Linked DNA regions of Danio rerio. Each later gene encodes a partner of the first gene's protein in a complex. Links are inferred from orthologs where the notes say so. Each region holds a gene or a part of one and is shown in the gene's direction. Other genes may lie near its edges. The genes, in order: smarca2, phf10 and dpf1.

The links.
Region 2: smarca2 (region 1) and phf10 share a complex: the UniProt entries of both Homo sapiens proteins name them as parts of the neural progenitors-specific chromatin remodeling complex. The link is inferred for Danio rerio from reciprocal best matches to the Homo sapiens genes SMARCA2 and PHF10.
Region 3: smarca2 (region 1) and dpf1 share a complex: the UniProt entries of both Homo sapiens proteins name them as parts of the neuron-specific chromatin remodeling complex. The link is inferred for Danio rerio from reciprocal best matches to the Homo sapiens genes SMARCA2 and DPF1.

Annotation. Positions count from the first base shown.
Region 1 is NC_133180.1:46,072,501-46,082,696, forward strand, and holds part of smarca2 (probable global transcription activator SNF2L2), read left to right. Parts: coding exon 1-93; intron 94-204; coding exon 205-318; intron 319-1,428; coding exon 1,429-1,536; intron 1,537-1,614; coding exon 1,615-1,701; intron 1,702-4,975; coding exon 4,976-5,022; intron 5,023-5,187; coding exon 5,188-5,354; intron 5,355-5,511; coding exon 5,512-5,675; intron 5,676-10,196. UniProt on the Homo sapiens protein: ATPase involved in transcriptional activation and repression of select genes by chromatin remodeling (alteration of DNA-nucleosome topology).
Region 2 is NC_133188.1:6,026,825-6,036,858, forward strand, and holds the end of phf10 (PHD finger protein 10), read left to right. Parts: intron 1-967; coding exon 968-1,076; intron 1,077-3,222; coding exon 3,223-3,411; intron 3,412-5,804; coding exon 5,805-5,890; 3' UTR 5,891-6,081; downstream 6,082-10,034. UniProt on the Homo sapiens protein: Involved in transcription activity regulation by chromatin remodeling. Belongs to the neural progenitors-specific chromatin remodeling complex (npBAF complex) and is required for the proliferation of neural progenitors.
Region 3 is NC_133190.1:16,342,971-16,353,166, reverse strand, and holds part of dpf1 (zinc finger protein neuro-d4), read left to right. Parts: intron 1-1,291; coding exon 1,292-1,452; intron 1,453-1,547; coding exon 1,548-1,655; intron 1,656-5,819; coding exon 5,820-5,947; intron 5,948-10,196. UniProt on the Homo sapiens protein: May have an important role in developing neurons by participating in regulation of cell survival, possibly as a neurospecific transcription factor. Belongs to the neuron-specific chromatin remodeling complex (nBAF complex).

The DNA of each region.
Region 1 (10,196 bases):
GCCCTGCTCAACTTCCTCTTACCCACTATCTTCAAAAGCTGCAGCACCTTTGAGCAGTGGTTCAATGCTCCTTTTGCAATGACAGGAGAAAGGGTAAACTGTCATATTTGAATCTTTAGAGATTTAGAGATGTCTATTTTACGTCTTACACTGTATTTTAATGACTTTTTTTCTTGGTTATGGGGTTGCGCTGATGTTTGTTAGGTGGATCTGAATGAAGAGGAGACCATCCTCATCATTCGTCGTTTGCATAAGGTGTTGCGTCCCTTCTTATTGCGCAGACTGAAGAAAGAGGTGGAGTCTCAGTTACCTGAGAAAGTAAGTGTATCCACTTTGTCTCTTGTGTGTGTGTGTGTGTGTGTGTGTGTGTGTGTGTGTGTGTGTGTGTGTGTGTGTGTGTGTGTGTGTGTGTGTGTGTGTGTGTGTGTCTGTGTCTGTGTCTGTGTCTGTGTGTATGTATTTTATTATTAGCTGATAGTGAAAAGAGCATTCAGTGACATTTAGCATCTGTCTGCTTTGGTTCACTGCACACAGAAATCAACACATAGTCACTGCCTTTTTCACATACTGTGTTGACGCATTTTCACAGATATCGTGAAATACTGTAAAGGCCACCAAGAACTATAACATTAGAATGCATAATTCTAAAACAAGGGTGTCAAACTAATTTTCACTGAGGGCCATTTTAGCATTAGGCTGCCCTCAAAGGGACAGTTATAACTGTAAGACTGTATGGCGGATTTTCATGGAAACTTAGTTGAAACATTTTCAACAATAAGTAAAAAAAAAAATATATATATATATATATATATAAGGTGCCCTTTAAGATTTTTAAGTGCAATATGTATGAGATTTTGTTAAAAACATTTAATGTACAAAAAACAACATTGAATTTCAAAGATGTTCCCAGAAGTCATTGAATAAAGGAGGTGGGAAGTGCAACATTTGATATAGATTTATTATTAAAGTCTCATTTATCTCAGGAGTTTCCGTAAATGAGACAGTGAAAGTAAACATTACCATGAAAATCTTAATAAAGGCACATTAACAGTGTTTATTTGGTGAAATTCCTATTAAAATTTGTTTTATCTGTATTGTGCAACATTTGTTAGGGTCTTTATGGATAGTTTATATTGCGCATAAATGTCATGTGACCATCAGGAAAAACACATTTCATTTCTCACAGGACGCGGTCTTTGTTCTCGCGTTCCCCCAAATTTGTTCTTTCGAGGTAATCTTGCAAGACCAGTCACCACGAGAACATGAGTCGTGTCTCTGCGTTCTTGGAATTTAGAAACAGCCATTGTCTGCATAGTCACTGCCTGATAAGGCAGGAAATAAACAAGTCAGCTGTCTAAGCTTTGGGGCAAAACCTGTATGTCATCCTGTTCAAACTATATTGATGCACTGAGTCTTCATTTGTCACAGGTGGAGTATGTCATCAAATGTGACATGTCAGCCATCCAGAAGGTCCTGTACAGACACATGCAGGGCAAAGGTATCCTACTCACAGATGGCTCGGAGAAAGACAAGAAGGTAAACAGAGAAACTGTGTGCTTACTCACTTTTACACCACTGTGCAGATTTGATGTGTTTAATGTGTTTTCTCCACAGGGTAAAGGTGGAGCCAAGACCCTAATGAACACCATCATGCAACTGAAGAAGATCTGTAACCATCCCTACATGTTTCAGCACATTGAGGTATCACTATCTGTCATAGAACAATGTTTATTAAGTTAACGTTACATAGGTTTACCTAAAACTTGAATTTCTGTTATAACTGACTTTCCTGCAATTTAAATGACTTTAAATATATCAACAGAATACAAGAGAAGATATTTTAACGCTATTGCTTTTTGACATACAAACTCAATGGGGTCCAAAAAACAGAGCCCAAAAAAAAAAAATCTTCTTCAAGACCTAAAACTACTACATAGCTCTGAAGTTAGACCTTAAAGTTTCTGTCTATGTCTGAAAATAATAATAATTTTTGATTCATAATAGATTTATTTTCTGCAATAGGTTTATATCAATTCTAAGGTAAAAAAACAAACAAACAAACAAAAAACAAACATACATTTGTTTTTGTAGATACATCACAACAGCTGTTTTTTCACAGTGTTTCTAAACTCGTCTTTTCATCGCTCTAATTAGCGATGGCCAGTTTGTTATGATTTGTCTATGTACCAGTAATGAAACGTTCATTAACATATCTGAACAGTAACAATGTCACTAGCTAATTCAAGCCCAAATTCGCATGCTTTGAAAGTGAATGCAAATTGGAGACAGTGGAAAAAGGGGTACCATCTTAACATCAACATCACAAACCAAACTGCTTCATGCCTCAGCTTCAACTAAATGTTTGATTGAAACGGGTGTTGTTTGCATAGGTAGGCATTATGCAGTTATGTTACAAACCTTTGCAGTTTTGTGCTGGATGTTAGAAAAGAGTTACCGATGACTTATTTTTAAGCAATTTGGAATCATTTTGGGTGTACAAAAATTACATTAAAGTACTTTCACAAACAGCTATATTACATGCTACCTGAATGTTAAAATCTGAAAAAACTACAACAGGGACACTTTAAATATCTATCAACAATCAAAAAAGCTAACGCTTTACATGCAACTAACCCTGAACCTAACTTGCATTCTAATCCTAACCATATGGTATATACATGTAATTAGGGCTTTCTCAGCCGTGCGATATTCTGCAATATCAGAACTCGTACAGCCTCCTCAGCCTTCAGTATTACTCCGCCCATATAGAGTGACAACAGATCAATAAACTCATTATAGTTTGACAAATGTTGTAGCTGTTAGACAACATAATGTACTTTTGAGGCTTTTTTAGTCGAGATTGTAGTTGTTTAGATTGCAACTATGCCTTTATTTACTGTATAAGGATAGAGCCTGTTTTAAATAATAATACAAAATCAGCCTGTCACTGAGCAGAGCAAAGACGGTTGACGTCCATGTACAAGATGGCGACAGAGACCACATAATAAGCCCTTAAAAGAGAAAAACTCTAATTTCTAACTACAGCTGATCAAATCATTATTATTTTGGTGAGTAACATTTTAAGTTGATGTCCCTCTTTTGTATGTTGTAGAGCTGCATTTATGCCGTAGTAGTTGTTGTGTATTAAGTGTAAGAAAGGACTCGCATATCAGGAATGTATGCATTTTGTGTTGGCCACTCTTTGGCCCAATCCAAATTCTACCCCTTAGCTCTTCTCCCTTCCTCTTAGCCCTACGCCTTCAAGCTAAAGAGAATTGGGACACCCCTACCCCTTCACGGGAAAGTGCAAAACGAGCGGTTGGGGGTGTCCTAATTCTCTTTAGCTTGAAGGCATAGGGCTAAGAGGAAGGGGCGAATAGCCCTTCAAATTTAGATTTTTCAGGACCACACTCGAAACCAAGGAGTAATAAAATTTCCCAGAATGCACCATCCACCACGGCAGGGTCACTGCACCTGGAGGTCAGAAGATGCACAAATTAGTATTGTTTTATATTATTGTGAATTTTTACAACAAACAAGCACATGTTGTAATATATTCATAGCCGCATTTGTGTTTTACCGTCATGCTTTTAAAAAAACGCTAAAATAAAAACTGCTAAATTTCGCAATGTATAATCAAAAACTATAACTTATGTATAGTAGTTCCACAACATTCTGACACTCGATGACACTCGAATACCCTGTCAGAAAAAGTCTAGTGACTGGGAAAGAGCTTTAAACAGTGTGTGCTATAATGTTAGTTTTGTTTTTGGTGTGTTTACATTGATGAATAAGGCCACTTTGTAAATGCACAGTCCAGTTACGATCTTATTGTCACATTAGATTGTTATGATAACATAATACATACCTTAAGTGATTTCCTCAAGAAAAATACCAAAAAAATAAAGCAACTGGAATAACTACAGCACTGATCTCATATGAAGGATGAGAACGCAATGACATATATTGACGTGTGCAGGTCTTGTAGTGGTGTCCCATTTTTTAGGGATAAATTTCGAAGTCCTTCTCTTTTACACTTTGTTTTATGGGCCAAGGGGAAGGAGTAGGGGTTAAAAATCTAATTGGGATTGGGCTTTTGTATAACCTAAGGTTACTTTTTGATTGGCCATCTGTTTGTTTCTATTGAGTCTTCTTGCTGTAAGAAAAACCCGCATGTGTTTAGCGTTTTTCCTTATCGCAAACACAACAGTAATATCGTATTGTTTGCACTGCTTTAGCTTTTTCGGGGTTATTTATGTGATCTCTAATTGCAATAAAGAAATACTGGGAAATATCTGTCGACTGATGACATTTCATGCCAGTTAGCCTTACAATCTTAAAATGTAATGTAATGTAATGTAATGTGTATTTATATAGCTCATTTATTATGTATGGCCAAACACCCAAAGCACTTCACAATCATGAGGGGGTCTCTTCACACCACCACCAGTGTGCAGCATCCACTTGGATGATGCGACGGCAGCCACAGGACAACGGCGCCAGTGCGCTCACCACACACTAGCTATTGGTGAAGTGAAGAGACAGTGATAGAGGCAATTCTGTGGAAGGGGATGATTAGGAGGCCATGATCGTAAGGGCGGATAGGGGGACTTTGGCCAGGACACCGGGGTTACACCCCTGCTCTTTCACGAGAAGTGCCATGGGATTTTTAATGACCACAAAGAGTCAGGACAGTGTTGTGTCCCCTTAACTTTTTCTGGGGCATTAGGACTCACACAGACCACAAGTTACCAGAAGGCAAAGTATCATAGACGCTGCGGTGAACACTGTGGTTTCTGTGGTTACTGTCATTCCTCTGCAGACAAAAAAATTGCAGTTATCGCCACAGCCATAAACTGTATGTAAGCCTTGTTAGTTGTTCAACGAGCAGTGCCACTGTAATAAACAGTCAGTATTTTTTTCCTACTTGTATAGCATGAGCTACACTAAAAGCATCTTTTTTGTATCTATTCAGGAATCCTTTGCTGAACATTTGGGATTTCCAAATGGCATTATCAGCGGGTGAGTATACATCAAATCGAGCGTTACATAACCTTAAGAGTTACCATGAAGTGTTCATTCATGTCAATTATGGATCACTAAACTGACCGCGGGCTCTGGACAGTGGAGGTACACCATCATAGATTTGACATTAGCGTTGTGCTTTTTTTTTTCTTGTCCACCTAGCCCTGACCTGTACCGAGCCTCTGGCAAGTTTGAGTTACTGGACCGCATCCTGCCCAAACTGAAGGCCACCAATCACAGAGTGCTTTTGTTCTGCCAGATGACCTCCCTCATGACCATCCTGGAGGATTACTTTGGCTACCGTAACTTCCTTTATCTGCGTCTGGACGGTCAGTAATCAGCGCAGTCCTTCTTTAATGTTTTCCTGTCCTTTAGGGCCTTATTTCTTGGGGGTTTCCAATTGGAAATTTTAATAAGTGTGATCACACAAACATGCTGCCCTTTCTCTTTCATTAACACTCCTTTGCTGCTGGTTTTGTCCTCCAGGAACTACAAAGTCAGAGGATCGTGCGATGCTTTTGAAGAAATTCAATGAGGAAGGCTCCCAGTATTTTATCTTCCTGCTGAGCACCAGGGCGGGAGGTTTGGGGCTGAACTTGCAAGCTGCAGACACTGTTGTGATCTTTGACAGCGACTGGAACCCCCACCAGGTTTGTGTGATTCACTGCTGTGATTAGAGAGGAACTAGACAGTCGCATAGCAAGTTTTCAGCTCAGCAGTCATCTGTCATCTCTAGATCTGACTTGAAATACATTTCAAAGTGCATGTTTGTTTGAAGTAATCGTGGAGGTCTGTTTTTCTACCCTAGCAGAAAAAAGGTAGCTTTTTCTTTTGATTTTTTTGAACTGTTATTTGATTTTGATTACATCAAACCTTTATAAAAAAATTTTTTATCTGTAATTATGGTCTTAAATCTTAGGTTCTTTATTTAATTTTGTTTTATTCTTTTATTATATTATCTGAAATTATCCTGTATATACATTTTCTTTTTATTTTTAATACATTAAAATATCTTTAGGCAATGCAGTGGCGCAGTAAGTAGTGCTGTCACCTCACAGCAAGAAGGTCGCTGGTTCGAGCCTTGGCTGGGTCAGTTGGCGTTTCTGTGTGGAGATTGCATGTTCTCCCTGCGTTTGCGTGGGTTTCCTCCGGGTGCTCCGGAGTTTGCATGTTCTCCCTGCGTTTGCGTGGGTTTCCTCCGGTGCTCCACAGTCCAAAGACATGGGGCACAGGTGAATGGACCCTTCGCTAAGCCCCGCCCTCCTTAGTTACTGTTGCTATGCCTGTCAAGCTTTATTGCCTGCAACGTCTATTACAATGTGTATGCGCCAGTTTCAGACATTGCCAGGGATAAAATTAGTCATTTTTTTCCAACAGATAAGATATCCGAGAAAGCCAGACAAAAAAGGACAGCAGTATGCATTACAGGGGTAGATTCACGACATAATAGGCAACTGATTAGAAAATAACCGGATCAAAATTGAAGCTAGCTTAGCCTAGCCGCCTCATACGCTGACCATTCAACAGCTCAGTTCATGCACAGCAGGAAAGGTGACATTTAAAAATAATTCAGTAAAACTAAATAAACCCTGATTTCTCTTTTTTAGCCAAAAAGCCTGATAGATTAATTGTTGTGCAATGAAGTATAGCGTTACTTACCAACTAGGAAAAACGCATGGACAGTGCTTCTACATCATTAATTTATAGAAAGAACAGCCAAGAAGGGGAAATAGATGGATTTGTACCAGATATTAGCATCATTTACCCATAACAGTGAACACCTATCACCGTCTGTACGTATGTTTGTGTGCTCTTTATAGCGTTTCTATTCTAATTTACAGTTAAGTGAAAGAGATAAATACATTGAAATGCAAATCAAAGTATAAATAGCAGAAGTGAACGAATAGATTTTCCCTACCAGCAAATATTAATCCGATGCCAAATATAAAAGCAGACACTAACCCTCTATAGCATCGTCACAGATGAATAAATCTCCAAAAGACAGACGAAAACATCAGTGAATTGTAGCTCTGACATGGACATCGAGGCTTATAAATGACTGAAAAACAGCTGCTTGTAAAGTATACTGATCGCAAGTGCTCAGATTGTGATCACATCTCGGTTTTGTTCTGTTGATATGTAATTTCAAATATTCGAAGCTTGAAACAGATGGAAATATGATTGCTATTTGTGTGACTCCAAAGGCTTAAATGGAGCAGTGCTCATAATATCGAGCGAAAAAAGAAAAAGACAGCTGGGAAACATGACCTGTTTTGTATTTTTGTAATAAACACACTTTAGATCTGTTTAGGGTAAGAGGTGTGTGAGTTATTGCCGTCTATGACTGAATGTGTCAGAAATATCGAAAACAAAACTGACTTAACACCGCTCCTTTAGCACCCCTCACAGAGATTGATCCATGCTGGCATTTCTCCCCTTGGGTTTTAGGTTTTGAAAAGGGAAAAAATTCCACCACCCAGTCCAAACTTTAAGGATACCGGGTATCAGATTTGCACAATCAATATGCACAGCGCTTTGGCCTGTTTCCCTCGCTCGAAAGCTTGACAGAGCTCCTGCGCATAGCTACGGTTGCTAAGCCACGATTGGTGGGTGGCGTTTTTTGGGTGTGGCTTAGCGAAGGGCCAATTAGGTAGGCTGAATTGTCCATAGTGTATGGATGTTTTCCAGAGATGGGTTGCAGATGGAAGGGCATCCGCTGCATAAAACATATGCTGGATAAGTTGGTGGTTCATTCCACTGTGGAAACATCAGATTAATAAAGAGACTAAGCTGAAAAGAAAATGAATGAATGAATAATAGCTTTAATTTAGTTTTCTGGTCATTTCCATATAATTAAAATTTTAATTACTTTTACCTACATAGACACTGATTGTACTTTTGCCAGTTCTCCTTAACTAGACAGCCTGAGTAACAGCAGCTGAAGAGTACTGTATAATGTGCATGTTACTTTTAAGGCTATATTTGACAGATTTCGTAAAGGCTTCAGTACTTTTTGAGGTCTCTCTGCAACTTGACACTTGTGAGGGCGACTTGGCTCTATGACAATGAGATGAGACCTCAAATTTAATATTCTGCCACTTGTCACAAAGCACATTTTGCATATTGACTGATCTAAAGTGCCTGAATTTTATTTTATTATTTTATTTTATTTTATTTTCAGTCCCAAGTGGAAACATGCCTGTATAGGTAGTTGACATCACATAAGATAATAAACACTTGTATTAATTATAATTTTTCATAAAAAAATGATGGTACTGTATATGTAATAAGTATATGTAAGTCCAATAAAATTGTTTGCTTGAAGTAGAGGTCTGTGCGTGGCTATAATTTATTTTGCTTGCGACTGCTATTGGGTAAAACTTTGAGGTGTTATCACATTGTCCATAGGGTCATTTTTTTCCATTTGTGTATATGACACATGTAAAAGAATCCTATACATCAGACTTGCCTGATATGGGTTTCCTAACAGTAAACTGACCATTTTTAATGCAAGTTGAAGGACAGCCAATCTACACTTTGCTCTCCCATGTTGGTAAAGACAGCTTTGATGACCGTTATGCAGATGATGCGTGCACAGACTGTGCCAATAAAATGCACATGCAGAAAGCACTGGTCCATGCTTTCAGCATGTGTAACAGTCAAGAGCACTGGCTGTACCGGTGCTCAATAAGATATGCTATTCCAAAATTATATTGGGACACTGGAGCACTATTGTTAGAGCGACCGCTTCAATTTAAATTACTGATGGTTTTCTCAATTACCGCATTTTATTCAGAAATTTATTTGCATCGCAAGAAATCTGCTTGGGTCCCACTGCTGGACTTTGGGACCTGACCAAAAGTCCAGCAAGTCTTTGTACATGACCGTGAAGTCATGTACAAAGACTTGCGTGGAAATCCTCCTAAACATTGCGTACGCACAAAGGTGCAACATGCAGGAGCGCAAAACCCCTCCCTGCCTCCTCCCCCGTATGAATATGCTAATGACTCTACTTTGGCAAAACCCAACGAAAAAGCAATGGCAAAAGCAAGCAAAAAGAGAAACTTTGAACAGAATGTGAATTGAGGGTGCTCCTTTAGGAGGTAGACCAGAGAAAAACGGTGTTATTTGCAAGTTTGTCCTCCGGAATTAACAACAAAAGAAGAAAAATAGAGTGGGGAGAGTTTAGCTGATGCGGTTAACACAGTTAAGTCTGAACATCGCACTGTGGATTAAAAAAAGAAATAGTGTTATTTATAGTTGTAGATGTTGTAGTACACTCAATAGTCTCAGTGGCGCAGCTCGTAAAACGCATGTTAACATGTTTTGACACGTTCGAGCATGAACTCTGTTCGAATCCAGCGTCAGATGAACTCATTCATTCATGCATCATATTTTATTTGCACATTTATTGAATGGAAATGTTTCTGATTCACGCATGCAAATTCATCTTCAGATGGCGCCTTTATAGCAATGTGCGTGCAGTAGATAGCTCCGATTACATTGGGAAAACCGGCAACCGCTGCAAATAGCGCTTTAATGTTTGGCTGGTCAACTGTATGGTATGGAAACCTTATATACCTGCTAGATGAACCTGTCTCATACAGCTGCCATTGCACGGCTCAAAGACTCTTTGTAAAGTGCAATTTAACACAACTGCCTCTAGGAGTCGCCAATGGAAATAAAACAGACACGCAAAAAAAAATGTGCGTACGCCAACATTCCCACGTTCATTTCATCGTTAGTAAATCCAAACGTGAGCGATTCTGAGCGTGAAACCTGGCGTACGCAAAGTTTTTGTGCATACGCAGCATTGATACATGGCCCCAGGCCCCAGATTTCTTGCTATGCAGGAATGCAGACCTTTAGCTTAAAGTATATCATCTAAAACATTTTGTTTACGCCTGCAGACAAAAGTAAATTTGTTGTTGGCGTTTGTAATGTATGTATATATTAATTGTTTTTTTTATTGTTGTTTGTTGTGTTATGTGCCTTTGCCCCACACATTTTCAGCAGAAGATGCTAATGTTAACCCATCCATCCTCCTCCACAAACAGTGCACAGAAAGTCACAGTGATTTGCATCCATTTGTTCTTCCTTTAGAAAACAAATCAAAGAATGCACTATGCCTCTTTTTAATTAAAATCCCCCACTCTGATTATTATTGATCT
Region 2 (10,034 bases), on another chromosome or scaffold:
GCTGGAGGTTAATATTGCAAAATGTATTAAAGCTGATTTATAATTCGGCCTGCCTTGCGCATAGCTGTGCATAAATACTTCTTTGCGTTGTTTCTGTTGCTCTGCAGTAACACCTCCGAAACGCTAGCAGGCAGTAGGTTTTTATGTTCCTCTGTGTTGAGTTTCTTCGCTGGTGTTTTTGTTTTCTTTCTGAATGCTACTTTAATGTACAAGTAGCTCAAACTAACTCATTTTGAGGCGGGAATCAGCAGACGTGCAGCAACTTTAATCATAAGGTAAACACAAAACAACAATTTCCATCCGGAGCGCCTTCATGGAACTCCACACTTGTAAACAATCGCTCCATCAGGCTCGCGCGGCTCTCACCTCCACCCACACTCGTCAGCACTACCAAGCCGAACAATCCCAGAGCTTGCGTTATGCATCATTGCGATGTGTAGTTTCATTTTTTCAGCGTCGACGCCGGCCACACAGAAGTATAAATCAGCCTTAAACCGAAAAGAAAATAAATGAATGTATGAATGTGGTGTGCAAATAAATTTTTTGGGGGGTAATAATTTTTTTGCCAAAGCTACATTTTTGTCGACTTCGGTGTCATGTCCTACAGAAGCAGATTTTCATTTAATAATAATAATAATATTAATAAATTATATATTTATATATATATTTATCTTAGTGACTAAACTTTAAGCAGTGACCTATTGTATATTTCATATATTTTCTGTATACTTAATGTAAAATGCAGATTATTATTATTATTTTTTGTCTTTCTTGTTTGTGTATTATTATATATGCGTTAAGTCTTTTTAATTGAAATTTGGGCAATTTCTATTGTTTTTAGCCTAATTTGCTCTGGTAAGTTCTGCTGACGAGCTGTAATTGTAAAAATGTTATTGGTTGAAGCATATCACATGGTGTGTATGTCCTTGGTTGCCTTGGCGTTTATAGCATTACTCTGCCCTTGCAGCCTAAGGTCATTCCCAATGCTATATGTGGCATATGTCAGAAGGGTAAGGAGGCCAACAAGCGAGGCAAACCAGAGGCTCTCATCCACTGCTCCCAGTGCCAAAACAGCGGTAAGTCAAAAGCAGCTCTTTCTGAAGCAGTCCTTGCTTTTCAGTTTAAATGGCACCTTCTGAAACAAGTAGTATAAAACACAAAAAACGAAATCGAAAATCATTTTAGTTTTAAAATACATGTTTTAATTCAAAACTCTAGGTTCTAGTTATTAGTAATTTGTATCTGCTATTATAAGTAGGACATAAAGTTGCGGTAACACTTTATAATAAGGTTCTGTTAATTAGTTTGACACAACCGTCCTGGATGTACTTTATCCTGCTTATTACACAAATACTTGACACGAAAACATAAATATTAGACACAAAACATCTGAGCCGTAATAGTTTATTCAATCTTTAATTAAATGCAAAGCAGACCGAAACAAAAACGGCTGATGGAGTATACACTAACCTGTGAGTAATTCAGACACAATATTGTGACAAACTGTCAACAATGCAAAGTTTGACCGAAACAAAACTAGCTGCATAAAGCATAGACTTACCTATGTATTATTAACGGTTAAAAGCCGAGGCATGATAGACAAGCAGATACATATGAACGTAGGTATAATTATTTGGATGTGACAGCCTGATCTCTGGCGTTTTGTCAGTTTAGTGAATTTGTACGAATTCAGTCTTCTGAAATTGTAAAATTTTTAAAAAGGAGGTGTGGCAACCTACTGCGCCCCTAAACCCAATCGTCACTCGTAAATTGATGAGCAAATTGTATGAATAAGATGGTACAAATTCATACGAATTGGCCACTAAATCAAAAAGTTACGAATTGCCGTGAGAACGTGTTGCATGTGAACGTATTCGCTGACCCTGAAGGTGATTCAAAATTTTCTGCGTTAAGCCATTGTTAACTAAGAATAACATACTGAATATTGTCACTGGCCAATCAGAATTGAGTATTCAAGACAGCTGTGTAATGAGTAAGGGATAAAGTACATCCAAGCGCAAAATGAAGGCCCGACAGGCTAATCAGCTGCCTGACGTTAAACGGAGCACTGTTGTATAAGACTGAAGGGCTTTAATCTGCGAAAATCATGCAACAGGATATAGTTTATCCCATTTATTTCATGGCGACATTTCACAATATGTACAAATTGGACAGAACTGTTTTGAAACATGAGTTGAATAATTCTTTAAATAAAAGCAAAGCTGACAGAAACGAAAACGGCTGAATGGAGCATACACTAACCTACGTATTATCTTGTCGCAAAATGGCGCCAGAGACAGACAAGCATATAAATATGGAGGTAAACGCATTCACTGACAGTCAAGATGATTTGAAGTACCTAGATGAGCCTGTGTTATTAGTTTAAGTGGTTGTTATCTGGGAATAGCATGCCTTGGGATGCAGCGACTGACTAATCAGAATTGAGTATTCCAAACTGCCGTGTAATAATGATCTACTAACATGAACAGTTTATTACAGTGGTAATTAATCTTTGTATTTTAAATTTTGGGTTTTAATAATGCATCAGTGAATGTTGAACTGTGATTAATAAATGCCATGCAAGTATTCTGCGTTCATGTTCGTAAATACGTTTAACGTTAACAAATAGAACCTTACTATGAAGTGTGATATTTTTTGTGTATGCTTTTTGAGTGTTTTAATCCGTTTTATACACTTGTGTTTCTGACTTAAACGGAATATTGAGTAGGGTGCGGGGCTTTCTTTTTGCGCATCATTCCCTCATAGAAAACTAATGGTGAGAGGGGCGTGGTTAAGAATACTGTGGCCGAACCATCAAACTGACATCATCAAACACAGTTCAAACACAAGCAAGTGCTCAGATGATTACCAATAAACTTTTTTCAATGGATTACCTTGCGTACGTTAATTGTTTATTTAAAAATAAAAATGTGCGTTAGCAAATTGTTTACATTTTGATTTACCTTTTGATTTCGAATATGTTTTAGATTTTTGAATACATTTTGATTTTACACGCATTTTAATATATACAGCACTCTGTTTTTAAAGCCTTTTCATCATCCTGTTGATAAAAAAAAAAAGTTCTCGTGTATCATTTCTTAAGTTTCTGCTTGCTGGAAAAGATACGTTTTTGTGTGAATGGCTAATGATGATGATGATGATGATGATGATGGTGATGGTGATGGTGATGGTGATGGTTATGATGGCCTTGTTTGTGCTCAGGTCACCCGTCCTGCTTGGACATGAGTGTGGATCTGGTGGCCAAGATCAAGATGTACCCGTGGCAGTGTATGGAGTGTAAGACGTGCACCGTGTGTCAGCAGCCCCATCATGAGGAGGAGATGATGTTCTGTGATAAGTGTGATCGAGGCTTTCACACTTTCTGTGTGGGCATGGACTCCATTCCTATGGGTGAGTCTCTACTTAAGATCTTCCTCTCAGATTTAGGAACACATAAATAAAAATACATTAAAGCTAGAATAAAAGCAGTTATTATTTTTTTTAAAAACCATTCGAAAAACCTAGAGTTGTCTAGAACAAACCATCATTATACAATTATTTGCCTAGTTAACCTAGTTATGTCACTAGTTACCTTTAAGGGCTCTATTTTGACGGTTCATGCGCAGAGCGCAAAACGCAGGGCGCAAACGCTTTCAGGGCGTGTCAGAATGCATTTTTGCTAATTTAAGGACGGGAAAATCCACTTTGCGCCATGGTGCATGGTCTAAAAGGGTTGAGCTTATTTTCTTAATGAGTTATAGGTGTGTTTTGAGAATAAACCAATTAGAGCCTCATCTCACATTACCTTAAAGAGCCAGCTGCGTCGCGCCATAAGCGCATTTTGACGTAAAGTAAGTTCACTTTCTCTTTTGCTCTCGTGGATAGGGAAACCTTTACGCACAGACATTAATTAGCCTATAAATTATTAATTTCGTTTGTTAAGCGCAAAGATTTGTTTCAAAACTATTTCTAAATTCAGTTTTAATTTCCAGCAAACGAATAAATGAACAACAATAACAAAGTGTGCTCAAAAACCTGAGTTATTTCCAAATACACCTGCTGTGCCCCATATGGTCTAAAATTTGACAGGTGGACAAATCTAAGCTTGTTTTTAATAAAACAAATATAAATATGGATATAATAAATAATACTGCTAATAATAATAACATTATACAAAAGAAAATTGAATGAACTGAAAAAGCCTCCCGAGATGAAGAAAGTATGAAGGCAGTGGTTTTTAAATTCATGTAGGCTAGAAATTAATATGTTTTGTAATATTTTAATCATTGATATTTATATCCTGTATATATCCTTAAGATATTATATATTTTTCATATGTAAAGATATTTGCGTATTGCTCTGCATCTTGTGTGTAGTGTGTAAGCCAGGCGCACTTTGCGCCAGACAATAGACCGACTTTGTTCTGGTCTTAAGATCAGACTATTTACAGTTTCTCAAAATAGCAACGCGCCAAAACACGCCTGCTTTTTTAGACCAGAATGCCTATGGGTGCACATTTGAGCGCAAATGCATTTGCTATTTAAACGGTGTGGCGCAACACCTCAAAATGACCCTTGCGCTGAGCTAAAAGTAGCAAAAGAGTATTGCGCCGCACCTTGCGCCACATTGCGCCGCGTGTATGATAGGGCCCTACATGTCACTTTAAGCTGAAAACTAGTATCTTGAAAAAATCTAGTAAAATAATGTGCTGTCCGTTAGAAATGTGTTGGAAAAAAATCTTCTTACTGTTAAACAGAAATTGGGAAAAATATTCAGGAGGACTAATGATTCTGACGTCAACTGTGTGTATAGTGTTTACATTTTTACACAAATTGACATTATTAAAACTTAATTAAAATGTTAAAATAGGATTTTTGTCTGCGTTTAGGATTTATAATTCTTTAAATATGAAATCACTTGTATAAATGATGATGCAGATGTTAAGGTTAGTAACATATAATAATAATTATAATAATAATAATTATTATGGGGGGGGAGGGGTCTCTCCTTACCACCACCAGTGTGCAGCATCCGCTTTAGTGGTTTAACGTCTCATCCGAAAGACATCGCTCAGTGACAGTATTCACCTTATTCTTCGCCAACAAGCGGGCGCAGCCATTTGAATCTTTTTGGCTCGAGACTTCCGGTCTCATTCACTTCCATTCATTTTTAGACATTAAAAACTGCTCGTTTTGATGTTTGATGTTGCAAACTGATATTTTCTTATTATATTATTCTACTTGGTCTGTATAGTCATGCAAACATTTGTTTTTAGAGCAAGTAGTTTGACCGTTTTCTGACGTTTATTATTCCTAAACGTCATTTCTCCCATAGGCGACTGAATCGGAAGTTCTAAAACAATCCTGAAAACAGGCGCACTTCCGCATTTTAGAATAAGGTCAATAGAGTTTTTCTTTCACTATACTGAGGCATTAAAAGTCACACAGACCGCAGGTTGAGCGCGCCCTGTTGTCATCACAAACATCACTTCTAACAGCAACCTAGTATTTCTTATGTGGTCTCCCATTCAGGTACTGACCAGGCTCAGCCCTGCTTAGCTTCAGTAAGAACCGGTCTTGCGCTCATATGGCTGTGTACTGAGATTGTAGCTTTATGAGACCAAAAACATAATATAATATAATATTTTTTTATTTTTAATCAGCTTAAACTTGTGGAGAACTTTTAACAAAAGAAACATCCTCATGCTTTCCTACGAAATCTTTTGTTGAACATAGAAGTGTGATGGAACTATTATTGTTTTATTTCATATAATATATTTCTGTTTGCATTTTTATTTTGTACAGGTTGCTGGGTCTGCGATTTATGCAGCAAAGACATTTCAACACCTCAGAAGAAAGGACAAACAAAAACACCAAAAAAGGCCAAATAACTTGCAAAAAATGGACCCAATTTTAGACCATGCTTTTGATTTATTCATATTTTTCTATTATTTGAATAAGTCTGTATGTGTTTTGTATGTCGCATTAATCTGTTATTTTGTAGCTGATTTTTTACACGCCTGTTTCTCTGTTGATTATGCTTTTTTATTGATTTGTTAAATAAATTTGAAACCTTTTTTTGTCAAGCATTGCTTACTTCCGTCTTTACTAGTTCTCTTGACGTTGTGATAGTGATATTTATCAACATTTCAAAAGAAAAGCTTTTTTTTATTAGCTTTTTTTGTACTAATTTATTTATGTAATGATCATACTTCAGTAAACGGGTAGTAATGGATATTTTTCTGATCTAAAAATTTTTTTATGATCTAAAAACTGTTGGGATACGAACATTTAGATGCTATGAAGGAATGAATGAATGAATACCCGGGCAGATATTCTTGACTCTTACTGGCTGTAGGCATCTTCCTCGAGTCCCATTATTAGTGTTTATTTTTAGCTTTAAGTTCAGCTTCTAGACTAAAGCAGAACAGCACCTTGTAAATTATTTTATTTATTTATTTACTTTCTATAATTATTTTTAGAGGTTTTTCACCTTTAATTAGAAAGGACCGTGGAGGTTACAGACAGGAAAGTATTGGGAGCAGAGAAAAGGGAAGGGTCGGCAAAGGACCTCGAGCCGGATATCGAACTCGGGTCGCTGTGAGCACCACGGTGCTATACAGTGCTCAGCATTTTTAAGTACATCCCTCACAAATCTCTCTTTTATATTCATATTTTTAATAGGAAGCTATACAATTTTATATTTGTGCATATACATTAGATTAGTCAGTACTGAAGCTAAATCTGGAGCTAATCTAACAAAATAACTTACGATAACGGTCCAAAAACTAGTACACACAAATTTATGTAATAGAAAAATATTGAATACAAATTTTAAAAAGAGGAAAAATCAAGAGAAGCGATAAAATTAAAAAAAATGGTTGAAATTTTGTAGATTGTAATTTTTTTACTTGAATTTAATTGTTATCTTTCAATTTCTAAATATGTTTGGTGACTAAAATATTATTTTAATAAATATATCTGTTTAATAAATCTGTTTTGTTTAAATGCACTAAAATACATTGCCAACATTCACTGAGAAATTAATAAAAATGTTTGTTTTCAAAACTGTTCTGAGCACTGTATGTCAGCGCACCTAACCACTAGGCCAGGGGTGGCCAACCCTGTTCCTGGAGAGCCACCTTCCTACAGATTTCAGATGCGACCCATATCAAACACACCTGAACCAATTAATTAGGATCTGAACACCACGTAATAATTATAGGCAGGTGTGTTTGATATGGGTAGCAACTGAAATCTGCAGGAAGGTGGCTCTCCAGGAACATGGTTGGCCACCCCTACAGTAGGCTATTGGCGCCAACAGATTACTTTAATAGTTTATTGCATATAAGTGGTTCAAAACCACTGTTTATAAGTTTGGCACTTGAGCAAACATGCCAAAAACGACAAGGTTCAGTTCTTTTCAAGTCTAACTCCATAATTTAAAACAGAAGAACGAAACTCAAGTATCAAAATGATGACAGGATTGTCAGTCTTGTGTGAACTATCCCTTTAAGGGCTGCAGTATAAGGTATGATTTAGGGTTATTTAAATATTAAATAATTATTACAAAGTGTTTTCAGTCTCGGTTTTCTTACCAAGTGCATCCGGAGATTTCGTCTCAGTCCAGAACTTTCATTTAAGTGCATCCCTAAGATAGAAAAAACCATATAAACAGTAATAAGAATATTGCATAGACACTCACATGCACTCAAAAAAATTACGTTTGCTGTTTGTACAAACTACTTATTTAAAATGAGCTGATACAACACAATAGGGTATATGCAAAAGCATGCAGAAGGACTTTTAATTTGTCAGTAACCCGAGTCAAACACATCCGGGGAACTGTATGCACTTACAAAATCGGCCCTTGTAATGTCTGTTTTTAAAAATCAATAAACTTCACTGCCTAAATGATTTATGATATAAAGTGGGTTTCAGATTGTACAAGAATCAATGCATTAAATTACATTTTCCTGTACCATGTTTTTAAAATATTTACATTTATTTTACTTCAGTATTTACAATGGCGTTTCTGCCCTAGCCTGCTGATCCTGACGGCCCAAAGCGATCTCACGGCAATTCGTAACTTTTCGCTTAAGTGGCTAATTCATATGAATTTGTGCGATCCGATTCCTACAATTTAGTACGATTCGCTTAACACCCAATGACGTTTGGGGTTAGGGGTGGGGTTACTTGCAACGCCTCCTTTTTAAAATCGTACATTTTCATACAACTGAACTACGTTTGAATTTGTACGAATTAGCCACTAAAATGACAAAACGTAAAATGCTTACATTTCCTCGTGAGATCAGGCTGGACGGCCGAGTGAGTAAACGGCTTTTCATCTCATTTTACACTTCAGCAACTTATTGAACGATGAAGTCTATTTAACGGATTATATTTGAATAACAATACAACATCAATGCTGTAAAAGGAACCGTATAAAATTGAAAGTCACATTAACCGTTCACCGGAAGTTTATCAGTATTGGAAGAAACACTAGCTCTGCATTTACCCAATTCTCAACTTTTTTTAAGGCACAACTTAATTGTTTTATGTTCTACCCCCTTAAATTTGTAGAAACTAATAAGCTAACTCAATTTCTTCATGTTGTTTCAGCACAAATCGAGTGTGTGGAACCCACCATTTGTTTCACAGTGAACAATTATCGCGCTAACGATTATTTTCCGACATTTTGTGCAACTCTAATTCAGACCTGACATCATGAATTTTAAAGTGAGCAGTAGGAGGAGGAGTCGGACACACACACGGGTTGTTTTAACTACACCACAACACAAGTCAGTCAGTCGTCTCTACTTTCACTGCCTAGTAAATGGGAACAGTGTTTTTGCATTGTGTTTTGTTGTGCAGCAGATGCCACGTGGAGGTCAGTCGCGAACGACAGGTAACAGGTGTGTGAATGTGTGTTTGACGGCTGCTCTGATACCTAATATAGGCGTGTGTGTGTATGTGTGATACAATGGACACGCAAACCTGCTCCTCGGGAAAAGGCCTCGTAACAAAGACTTCTGCTTTCCATTGAGCGTCCGCCGCTGTTTTGACCGAGCCACAGCTGATGTCTGGCTCTTCACAGCTTGTGTTGTGTAATTGGATCTCGTCAGCGTCGGGTAACTTTTTAAAAGCTCCCTTTGGACAGAAGATAATATGCCAGCCTAAAAGAAAAGCAGCAGTCTGCACAATATAGCTCATAATCAAAATAGATCCTAAAATTGTCCACATATAAGTGCTTTCCAAACTAGAATATCATCAAAAAGTTGTTTTTAATGGTCTAATTATCAAATTTTCTGAGATACTAATTTGTCTTTTTTTTTGCTAGCTGTAGGCAACCATACTCATAAATAGTTAAAAGCAGTAAACACACTGAAAAAAAAAATGATTAATTAGATTTACTATAAATTTTAAAATGTAGACAAATTAAATGTATAGTGTTCAACTTAATTTTTTTAAAATTCAGCCCACTATAAATTCTTTGCAACCACTTACCTTCATTTTCATTTCATTCATTTTCTTTTTGGCTTAGTCCCTTTATTAATCAGGGGTCGCCACAGCGGAATGAACTGCCAACGTATCCAGCACGTTTTTACACAGCGGATGCCCTTCCAGCCGCAACCCATCTCTGGGAATTATCCACACACACTCATACACTACGGACAATTTAGCTTACCCAATTCACCTGTAACGCATGTCTTTGGATTGTGGGGGAAACCGGAGCACCCGGAGGAAACACACGAAAACACGGTGAGAACATGCAAACTCCACACAGAAAAGCCAACTGAGCTGAGGTTCGAACCAGCAACCTTCTTGCTGTGAGGCGACAACGCTACCTACTGCGCCACTGCGTCGCCTGAACCACCAATTTATCCAGCAAATGTTTTATGCAGCGGATGCCCGTCCAGCTGCAACCCACTGCTGGGAAACATGCATACAAACTTATTCGCACTCATACACTACGAACAATTAAGCCTACCCAATTCACCTGTATCGCATGTCTTTGTACTGTGGGGGAAACTT
Region 3 (10,196 bases), on another chromosome or scaffold:
TTCAAGCTATTAAGGCGATTGTGCTACCCACTGCACCACCATGCTGCCCCTGAAGTCATTCAAAGCAATTCAAATCTGTCATTTTTGCTTTAAATTATTTAAAACCTCATTGTTATTTTTGTGGGAATGACGATCATATTTTCTCATGTAACATCCTAATAAAACAAATGTATAAAAAAGAAAAGGTTACAGTAATGCCGTAATAAATGAATCTTTGTTAACATTGGTAATAAAAGTGTCAGCAACTTCCAGTTCACATAGGTTTTAAATAAAAATATTGACAATATGAAAGGACAGCCTAGAGTCCTGATTTACACTTGATTGAAAGTCCTTAATAGGATGTTAAGGTCATTTAAAGCTATTTAAATCTGTCATATCTGCTTTAAATTATTTAAAACCTCATCGTCATAAAACAAATGTATAAAAAAGACAAAGAATTTAAGTAATAAATTAATCTTTGTTAATATAAGTAATCAAAGTCTTAGCAACTTCCAGTTCAAATGGCTTTTTAAAAATACTGACAAAATGAAAGGACAGCCTAGAGTCCTGAACTAAACCTAATTAAAAATCCATGGTGAGATGTCATTCAAAGTTATTCAAATCTGTCATATCTGCTTTAAATTTTTTAAAGCCTCATTCTTGACACATAGGTGAAACCTACTGGTTTGAAGAATTTGAGAAAGTACAAGGATTTGAAATGGCAGTGAATTAGTATTTTGGTATTTTTGTCATGCTTAAAGGGTTAGTTCACCCAAAATTGAGAATTTGGTCATCATTTACTCCATTATTTACCCCATTATTGCTTCAAATCTTAAAGAGTTTATATATTTTTTTCTGTTCAGCATAAAAGAAGATATTTTGAAGAAAGCTGGAAACCTGTAACCATTGACTTCCATAGTATTTGTTTTTCCAACTATAGAAGTCAATGGTTGTTGGTTAATGGTTTCAAACATTTTTCAAAATATCTTCACCAGTGTTTAAAACAATAAAGACTCTCACAAAGGTTTGGAACCACTTGAGGGTAAGTAAATTTACATGTTTGGGTGAACTTTGTTTAATTAGAGCCTTTAATATGTCGTGAAATGTTTCATTTTGTGACAAGATTTTTGGTAAATAAACTATTGGTATACTGAATGACTTGTTAGTTTGCATCTTTAGTCGTGGCTAACTGATTTTCATAGTCATTATTTCATTGTTTAGAGAAAATAAAATGAAACAGGCCACAATCTCGTACATGAGAGGAAAAAAAATAACCTGTATTAAACTTAGATTGTTTTTGAAATGTTTCCAGCCTTGGTGAGGAGTTTTATCGTGAGGCGATTGAGCACTGCCGCAGTTATAATGCTCGACTTTGTGCCGAACGCTCCATGCGCCTGCCCTTCCTCGACTCCCAGACAGGTGTAGCACAGAGTAACTGCTACATATGGATGGAGAAGACTCACCGTGGGCCAGGTGTGTGTCTGTGTGTATCCTACTACACAGGTGACTTTAACATAAGTTTTGGGTTTTGGGTGTTTATGTGGCCACTCTGCATCTGTTTGACCCAGGTGTGGCTCCAGGGCAGCTCTATACCTATCCTGCACGGTGCTGGAGGAAGAAGAGACGGTTGAACATCTTAGAGGATCCACGTCTTGGACCCATCGAGTTTAAAATCGGTAAAATTAAACTAAATGTTTGATGTTTTTGTAAGTATGACAATCGTATTTTTCCACATATCATCCTAATAAAAAATGTATAAAAATTAAAACGGTTACAGAAATGCAGTAAGAAATGAATCTTTGTTAACAGTTAATGAAAATAAAGTCCTACATTGTTAGTTAGCTCACAGTGCATTAACTAATGTTAACAAGCCTAAAGATATTTTAATAATTCATTATTCTGTGTTGAACGATAACAAAAGGCAACACACTGTTATACTACATAAACTTATTATTCTCTTTCCATCTTTTTCTGAGACTAGTTTCTATATGCATCTCCTCCTAAACCATTCAAGTTACAAAGACCAAACTAACTGCAAACCTCCAAACTGCTCTGACTCGGGTTGCTATATCTTTTCCAACTTGTCAGAAAAAATGACCCGGAAGTTTCGGAAAAGTCCCATTGACTTAACATTAGACCAAACTATGTGACCTCATAACTCTGCTCCAGACTGTCATACAGAATTAAGTTTGGGCTCATTTAACTCAGACTACTAATCTGCCAATCAATGATATATTTTAACTTAGTAGCCACACCCTAGCAACCACTTACAGTACCCTAGCAACTGTTCCATAGACTTACATTGTAAAAAAATTGCCATTGACTTTACATTGAACATACTAAAGACATACAAATTCATAATAGCAATATACTAATCCATGCTAGAACTATGCTAATTCAAATTAGAATCATGCTAATTTATGTTAGCAACTGCCTAGCAGCCACTCAGAACACCCTAGCAACTTCCTAGCAACACCTTAGCAACTGCCTAGCAACCACTCAGAACATCTTAGCAACCGCCTAGCAATTAATCAGAACACCCTAGCAATGACTTAGAAACTGCATAGCAATCACTCAGAGCACCTTAGCAACTACATATCAACACCTTAGCAACCACTTAGAACACCCTAACAACCACCTAGCAACACCTTAGCAATGACCTGGAGTATCCTAGCAACCGCCTAGCAAAGCCTTTGCCACCACTCAGAACACCCTAGCAACTCCTTAGCAACTGCCTAGCAACCACTCAGGACACCCTAGCAACCACTCAGAAAATCCTAGCAACTGCCTAGCAACACCTTGCAACCACATAGCAACACTTTAGCGACCATACAAAACACTCTAGCAACCGCCTAGCAAGAAACATGCCAATCCATACTAGAAACATGCTAACATATATGTACTTATCTATCTATGCCAACTGTTTCTTAAAAACTACTTTAGGTATTTAAACTTTAAAACTACTTCAAACTTTCAGACTAGGCTTTCTCAAGCCACCATAAAGTTACGAGTGTCTGAACTTTACTCTTCTAGTTAATAAATGATGTATAATGCATTTTTCATCATTATTAGTTCAAGTTGGTAAATTCATTAAACAGCTTCAACTAATGGCGATGCAGTGGCACAGTAGGTAGTGCTGTCGCCTCACAGCAAGAAGGTCGCTGGTTTGAGCCCCGGCTGGGTCAGTTGGCGTTTCTGTTCTACCCGCGTTTGCGTGGGTTTCTTCCGGATGCTCCGGTTTCCCCCACAGTCCAGAGACATGCGGTACAGGTGAATTGGGTAGGCTAAATTGTCCGTAGTGTATGAATGTGGATGAGTGTGCATGGATGTTTCCCAGAGATGGGTTGCAGCTGGAAGGGCATCCACTGCGTAAAACATGTGCTGGATAAGTTGGCGGTTCATTCTGCTGTGGCGACCATGGATTAATAAAGGGATTAAGACAAAAAGAAAATGAATGAATGAACTTCAACCAATGAAACCTTAATGTAAAGTGTGACCAAAACATTTCTTGAAAACAGTGGTAAGCAATGTATTTTCATGTTTGCTTCTGTACTTTATCAAAGTATTTCTATTTTGGGAAACTTTACCTTATTTCATTGCATTTCATAATTATGTTGTGGTGTGAAAGTAAGCTAATAATGCTGAATATTAGGATTTATTTTCGTAAATGAAAATCATATTTAGGGTACTACTGTTAGCTTGTAAAATGCTTGAATGTAAAAATGTCTGTTTATTTACAATCGCAACACAATGCTAATATAACATTAGGTAATGTTAATGCATCTTCTTGCTGTCATAGCACTAACTAGATACTAGAATGCTAATTAGTTTGTTTTTAAGAGCCCTGGCTAGTTGGAAATATGTACCTTAGCTTACATATTTGTGAAATATAAAATACAGTTCTCGGGTACATTTCAGTTGACAAATTTAGGGCACTGCCTAGATTTTTGTTAATCTTGTGAACAAATTACTTAGGGTATATTTTGTTGGTCATTTCAGATACACGTTTTTTTACATGTCCATGAGAAGTACAGGTCACCTAGTGCAGTGGTCCCCAACCACCGGGCCAATTGGTACCGGGCGCATTAGAAAAAATCATTCATTAATTAACTATTTAAACAAACTCTTATTTTGAAACATGACTGTAATCTCTCGCTTACATCCCGGTCATTTGAGTGCCCAAATTTAAACCACAAGCTAGCAAAATGAGTAAGAAACAGACGTCTTTGGAAAGCTTTTTTGATAAGAGGAAAAGGCCCAGTGAACTGCCATGGAATAGATCTGCAACCCATTTTTCAACAATTTAGGTGAATCCAGCATGTCTGTGCAACAAGATCAACTGCTGGAGAATGAAAATGATGGCAGGCTTTTAGGGGCCGTTCACATATCGGGGCTTCTCTGCACGTAAGTTGGTTATTTTCAATGGAGATGTGCGGCTTGCACCTGCAAGCGGCGGGATGTGCTCGCGCCTTCCAGACGCAACCAGTTAAAAAAATGCTGCGAGCGCACCACGAGTCAAGTGACAAGAACAGTCCAATCAGCTTCATACTTTGTATGGAATGTACACATTTCGGTAAACTAATTATTTTAGACAAACACAGAGCACGCAAACACTGTAGCGCTTTTTCATTTTCTCCATAAATAAAACTTGTATCAGAGTTAAAACATTGTTTTGTGAGCTTGTCATCCTCTGAGAATATGGTTGGTGGTCGCCTAGCAATCTATGTAAACTCCCCCCTGCCCCCTTGGTCCCTGGTAAAATTGTCCAGCGTTGACCGGTCTTTGGTGATAAAAAGGTTGGGGACCACTGACCTAATGAACCACTGACGTCAACCCTTCCCTAAACTATAACCAATAGTGTTTTCAACAGCAAAAGTATAAGAAAAGATAGTTTTATCTATAGCTTTTATCTCTTTTGTGAACCTGTGCCATTTATTTGTCATAAGTATGCTTTTGTAATTACAAAGCATGCTAGGTACAAGAAACCTGCTGTGACTTATTTATTTTAAGTAAAAAGAACTTTCATTAATATTTGAGTTAAAGTTAAAACTCATTTAATTGAATTAATTGCACTTTGATTTTACAGTGAATGAGTGCTTTTTTATTATGGTATCTGTATATTTCTCAGATTCTTGATTTGTGTACTTTGTCCATGCTTGGTTGTAACCAATTGTACTTTTTAATATTTTTGTGTTACATTTTTCTTTCATCAAAAGAAAGTTTAAAGTATTCACATTTTTTAAACCTTTTTTGGTAATAATACTTGCTGTATTACTAATGAAAATAATTAAATAATACTCACTATTCACTCACTCTCAAGTGCTTCCAAACCTTGAAAACCTTCTGAAAACCTGTAACCATTGACATCCATACTATAGGATTAACAGATACTATCCAAGTTCATTTTTAGAGGTTACCAGTTTTCTTCAGAACAGCTTCTTTCGTTTTCAACAGAAGAAAGATAGTCAAACATGTTTGTGTCACCTGAAGGGTTGGTAAATGGTGACAGAATATTCAGTGTTGGTTGTGTTACCCTTTTGCTGTATTAGGGCCAGATTTATTCAAATAATGTAAGACGGCAATCTCATAAAATTCTGCAGATGATCTAATGACAATTTTAAAAACACAAACACAACCGTTATTTGGCCACTGTAATCTACAAAGAGCACCGCAAATTATTGATAATGTGGCTTTGTAATCGATATGTTGGCATAATGACGTCTTCTAGCATTACAACAGTGAAGAACATCACAAATCTTTAAATGCAAGTTCATCCTGACAGCCCAAACTAAATGGTTTGCGTTGTTATAAGATGACATTTATTTGCCTTGTGTGTCCAGACTATGAAGCAGCGCTAAAGAAAGAAGGGGGTGTTCCTGATGGTCCCGTCCTGGAGTCACTCCTCAGCGGTGAACTGCTGGATAAAAAGGTGGAAACAAAGGAAGAGGAACCCATGAGCGAATGCCAGGTAAGAAAGATTCCTCCTAGGATGACTCTTTTTTTTGCAGAAACAAACACTCGACAGTCAACTAGATAAAGACTTCTTTCACACTCTCTTCCATGAAGACACTGTCCCTGTGTGTCGTTTTCTTTTTTCAGTACCCTCTTTCCCACCATTCAGAGTTTCCGTCTGCTGGCATCTTCCTCTCTTCAGCTCTTCCCTCATTCTCTTCGTCTTCCTCTCTGATTTCTCTATAGTACTTGTGTCTCTTCTTGGCAGAAACACAAATGCCTGCAGGGCCGACACGCCTCCTCTGGCAGACTTCCTTGTTAACCACAAAGTGTGTATATATATATTTTGCGAGTATACATTTGTTATCGTTGTGTGAATATGCCGGTATGTTTGACAAGTCGGTTGTATTGATTTTGCGGAGAATGCTTTCTTCAACATCTCCGGGTTTGCGGGAAGTAACGTTTATATAACCGCTTTGACACACGGATGCTCATAGATCATAATGAAGCGGCGTGCATTTAGATTGAGCTGTCAGTAGTGTCGCCACCCTCGCTGTTTAGCACACAACATGACATCTATCCCAGAGGCGGACAGTTAACCAATTAGCACTTCAATTAAGAGTCAGTCTTTGGAGTGCCGCGTCTCCTGGGAGTGGACCTGTGATCCTGCTGCTTGTGTCGCCTCAGGAGTTAAACAGCTGCGCATCTCCCTGCTATTTCACTTCTGCAGCCGCGCATTATGAGTGCACTCACAGTTGTCCACTTGTTAGGCAGTTATCATCAGAGTCAAGGGCTTACTTTCAACCAAAAATGGACATGTACTGTTATTTTACTGAAAGGAATGGGTCACCTAAAAATGAAAATTACCCCATAATTTACTCCATCCTCTGTGTAAATGACTTTTTTCTCGGTCAGACAAACAGAGTGAGTAATTTTAAATTTTATCCTGGCTCTTCCGTGCTGTTTAATGGTGTTGGATAGTGGCTTTTATTTTGAAGCTTACAAAAAGTGGGGGTTAATGGATGTCTGTGACACACCAAACCAATCCTAAACAACTAGTGCAGACGAAAATGGACGTGATCTTCCAACCATCAAAATTCACATTGTGTACACCTGGCTTTAACCTTCATCTGTACAAGATGTGGGTGACTTTTAGTTTTTTTTTAGTTGAATATTAAAAATAATTTTTTAGATTAAAATGTGGTCATTGGTGATTCATATTAGGGCTGCATGATATTGAAAAACTTTGATATTGCGATGTTTAATATTTCTGTGATTAAATATTGTGATATTCAATTTGATTTATCGTTATTTCTTTAACCGCCACAGTGTCTGCTCAGGATACGGCCTGGTCCAGGATTATGGAAACCTCTGGAATAATAAAACCAGACTAATATAAGCACAGATGTTGTTCCAATTATGTCTTTAGGGAAGTGTTCTCAGCTCTGGTTGCCCTAAATGATGCAGAATAGCAATGCTTTATGTTATGGTTTCATGGCTAGTATACTGCATAGCTTGCTCTCTGTAACTCTCACATGGTCGCCCACTTAAGCTAAGCAGGGCTGTGCCTGGTGAGTACCTAGATGGAAGACCACATGGGAAAGCTAGGTTGCTGCCGAAAGTAGTGTTAGTGAGGCCAGCAGGGGGTGCTCAACCTGCGGTCTATGTGGGTTCTAATGCCCCAGTATATTGATGGGGACTCTATACTGCTCAATGAGCGCCATCTTTCGAATGAGACGTTAAACTGAGGTCCTGACTCTGAAAAAGTAGGGGTTTAACCTCGGCGTCCTGACCAAATTTGCCCACTGGCCTCTGTCCATCATGGCCTCCTAACCATCCACATATCATAATTGGCCCTTCACCAATCAGCTGGTGTGTGGTGTGCAGTCTGGCGCAATATGGCAGCCATCACGTCATTCATGTGGATGCTGCACACTGGTTGTGAATGAGGAGATTCCCCTCAAAAAATGCGTAAAGTGTTTTGAGCGTCCAGAAAACCACTATATAAATGTATAGAATTAATAATTATTATTATTAAGGTAAATATGAACTGAGGCTCAGATCAAATCCTGTTGGTTCTTACTGCAACTTTAACCTGACACATGACACACAAGAGTGAACCCTATCGGTTCTCATGCATCAAGCAAGCATACTTCAAATGTTGAATGCTGTAAACATGTTTTTTGTTCAATGAATAAAACCCTAAATTAAATTAGCTCTTTAAAACCAGTCATATATCTTTTCTTATGGATTTATTATTTCTAGAATTGCTAAACCTGAAATAGTTTAAAGAAAGAGCTTAGCCAAATAGCAAAGCTCTCAATTTACCGGTCAATCTACGTTCCTACTTTCACCTATGGTCATGACTCATGGGTCATGGCCGAAAGGACAAGGTCTCGGATACAAGGGGCTGAAATGAGTTTCCTTCGCAGGGTGGGAGGGCTCACCCTTATAGACAGGGTGAGAAACTCTGTCACCCGGGATGAGCTCTGAGTAGAAGCCGCTGCTCCTCCACATCGAGAGAAGTCAGCTGAGGTGGTTCGGGCATCTGTTTCAGATGCCTCCAGGAAGCCTACCTAGGGTGGAGTTCCAGGCATGTCCCACCGGGAGGAGGCCTCGGGGAAGACCCAGGACATGCTGGAGGGACCATAGGCTGATTTATACTTCTGCGTCAAGCACATGCATATGCTACGACGCAGCCAACGCGTTGACACATAGCTCTACGCCGTGGCGTCAGCATCGCTGACACGCACCTCTCAAAAAATGTAACTACACGTCGTAATGACACATAGCACAAGCTCTGTGATTGGTCCGCTTGGTAGCGTTGACGAGTCTGGGCAGGGACGAGGGCCGTGCGAGCCCGATGGAGCAAGTGTTTACAAGTGTGGAGTCCCATGAAGGAGCTCCAGATGGAAAGTTTTATTTTGTGTTTACCTCATGGTTAAAGTTGTTGCACGTCCGCTGGTCCCTGCCTCAAAATGAGCGAGTTTAAGCCACTTGTACATTCAGGAAGTGTTCAGAAAAAACAGAACACCAGCGAAGAAACTCGACACAGAGGAATATTAACACCTCACTGCCAACTATTGTTTCGGAAGTGTTATTGCAGAGCAAAAGAAACAGCGCGCAGAAGAATAATGCACAGCTACTCGTGTTGCATGCACCGTGGGTCACACCGATCACTTGACGCAGAAGTATAAACCGACTAGCCTGGGATCACCTCGGGATCCCCCCGGAGGAGCTGGAGGAAGTGACTGGGGAGAGGGAAGTCTGGAGTTCTCTCCTAAGATTGCTGCCCCCGCGACCAGGCCCCAGATAAGCAGATTAAAATAATAATGATGATGATGATGATGATGATGATGAAGTTTCCCATTCAATTTTGCATACAAACATTAACAAAATAACAGTAACTCTGGTGGCACATATAGGATTTACGATTAAACCATAGTCCCAAATTGCATATGTATACACTATTCTATGCCATTTTGTAGTAAAAATAGTGTAAGTAGTGCATTCACACTGAAAACTCTAAAAATAATAAGTGCACTTTAATTGCCCGGTTGATGCACTTAGGCCCAATTCCAATTCTACATCTTAGCCATTCCCCTCACCCCTAGCCTTCCTTTTGCGTGTTTACATCAAGTTGTAGGGGTGTCCCAATTCTCTTTAGCTTAAAGGCGTAGGGCTAAGGGGAAGGGGTGAATAGCCCTTTGAACAAAGATTTTTCACTACCACACTCGAAACCAAGGGGTAAGAAAATTTCTCAGAATTCACCAGCCACAACAGCAGTATTGCTGAACCCGGAAGTAAGGAGATTTATAAATTAGTATTTTTTGTCATTATTACAAATATTTACGATAAACAAACACATGTTTTAATATATTCATAACCATGTTCATGTTTTACCGTCATGCTTTTTAAAATAAACGCAAAAAAAACTGCTAAATTTCGCTATCTATAATCCCAAATAGCATTTCCTGTATAGCAGTCCCACAACATTCTGACACTCGATGACACTCGAATACCCTGTCAGAATAAATATGAATGCAGATGCAGATGAATATGGCCACTGTGTAAATGCACAGTACAGTTACGATCTTATTGCCACATTATGTCGTTATGATAACATAATATATGCCTTCAGTGATTTCCTGAATAGAAATGCTAAAAAAATAGAACAGCTGGAATAACTACAGCAGTCGCCATCGTCTGATCTCATATGAAGCATGAGATCCCGATGACATATGATGACGTGTGCAGGTGCTTTA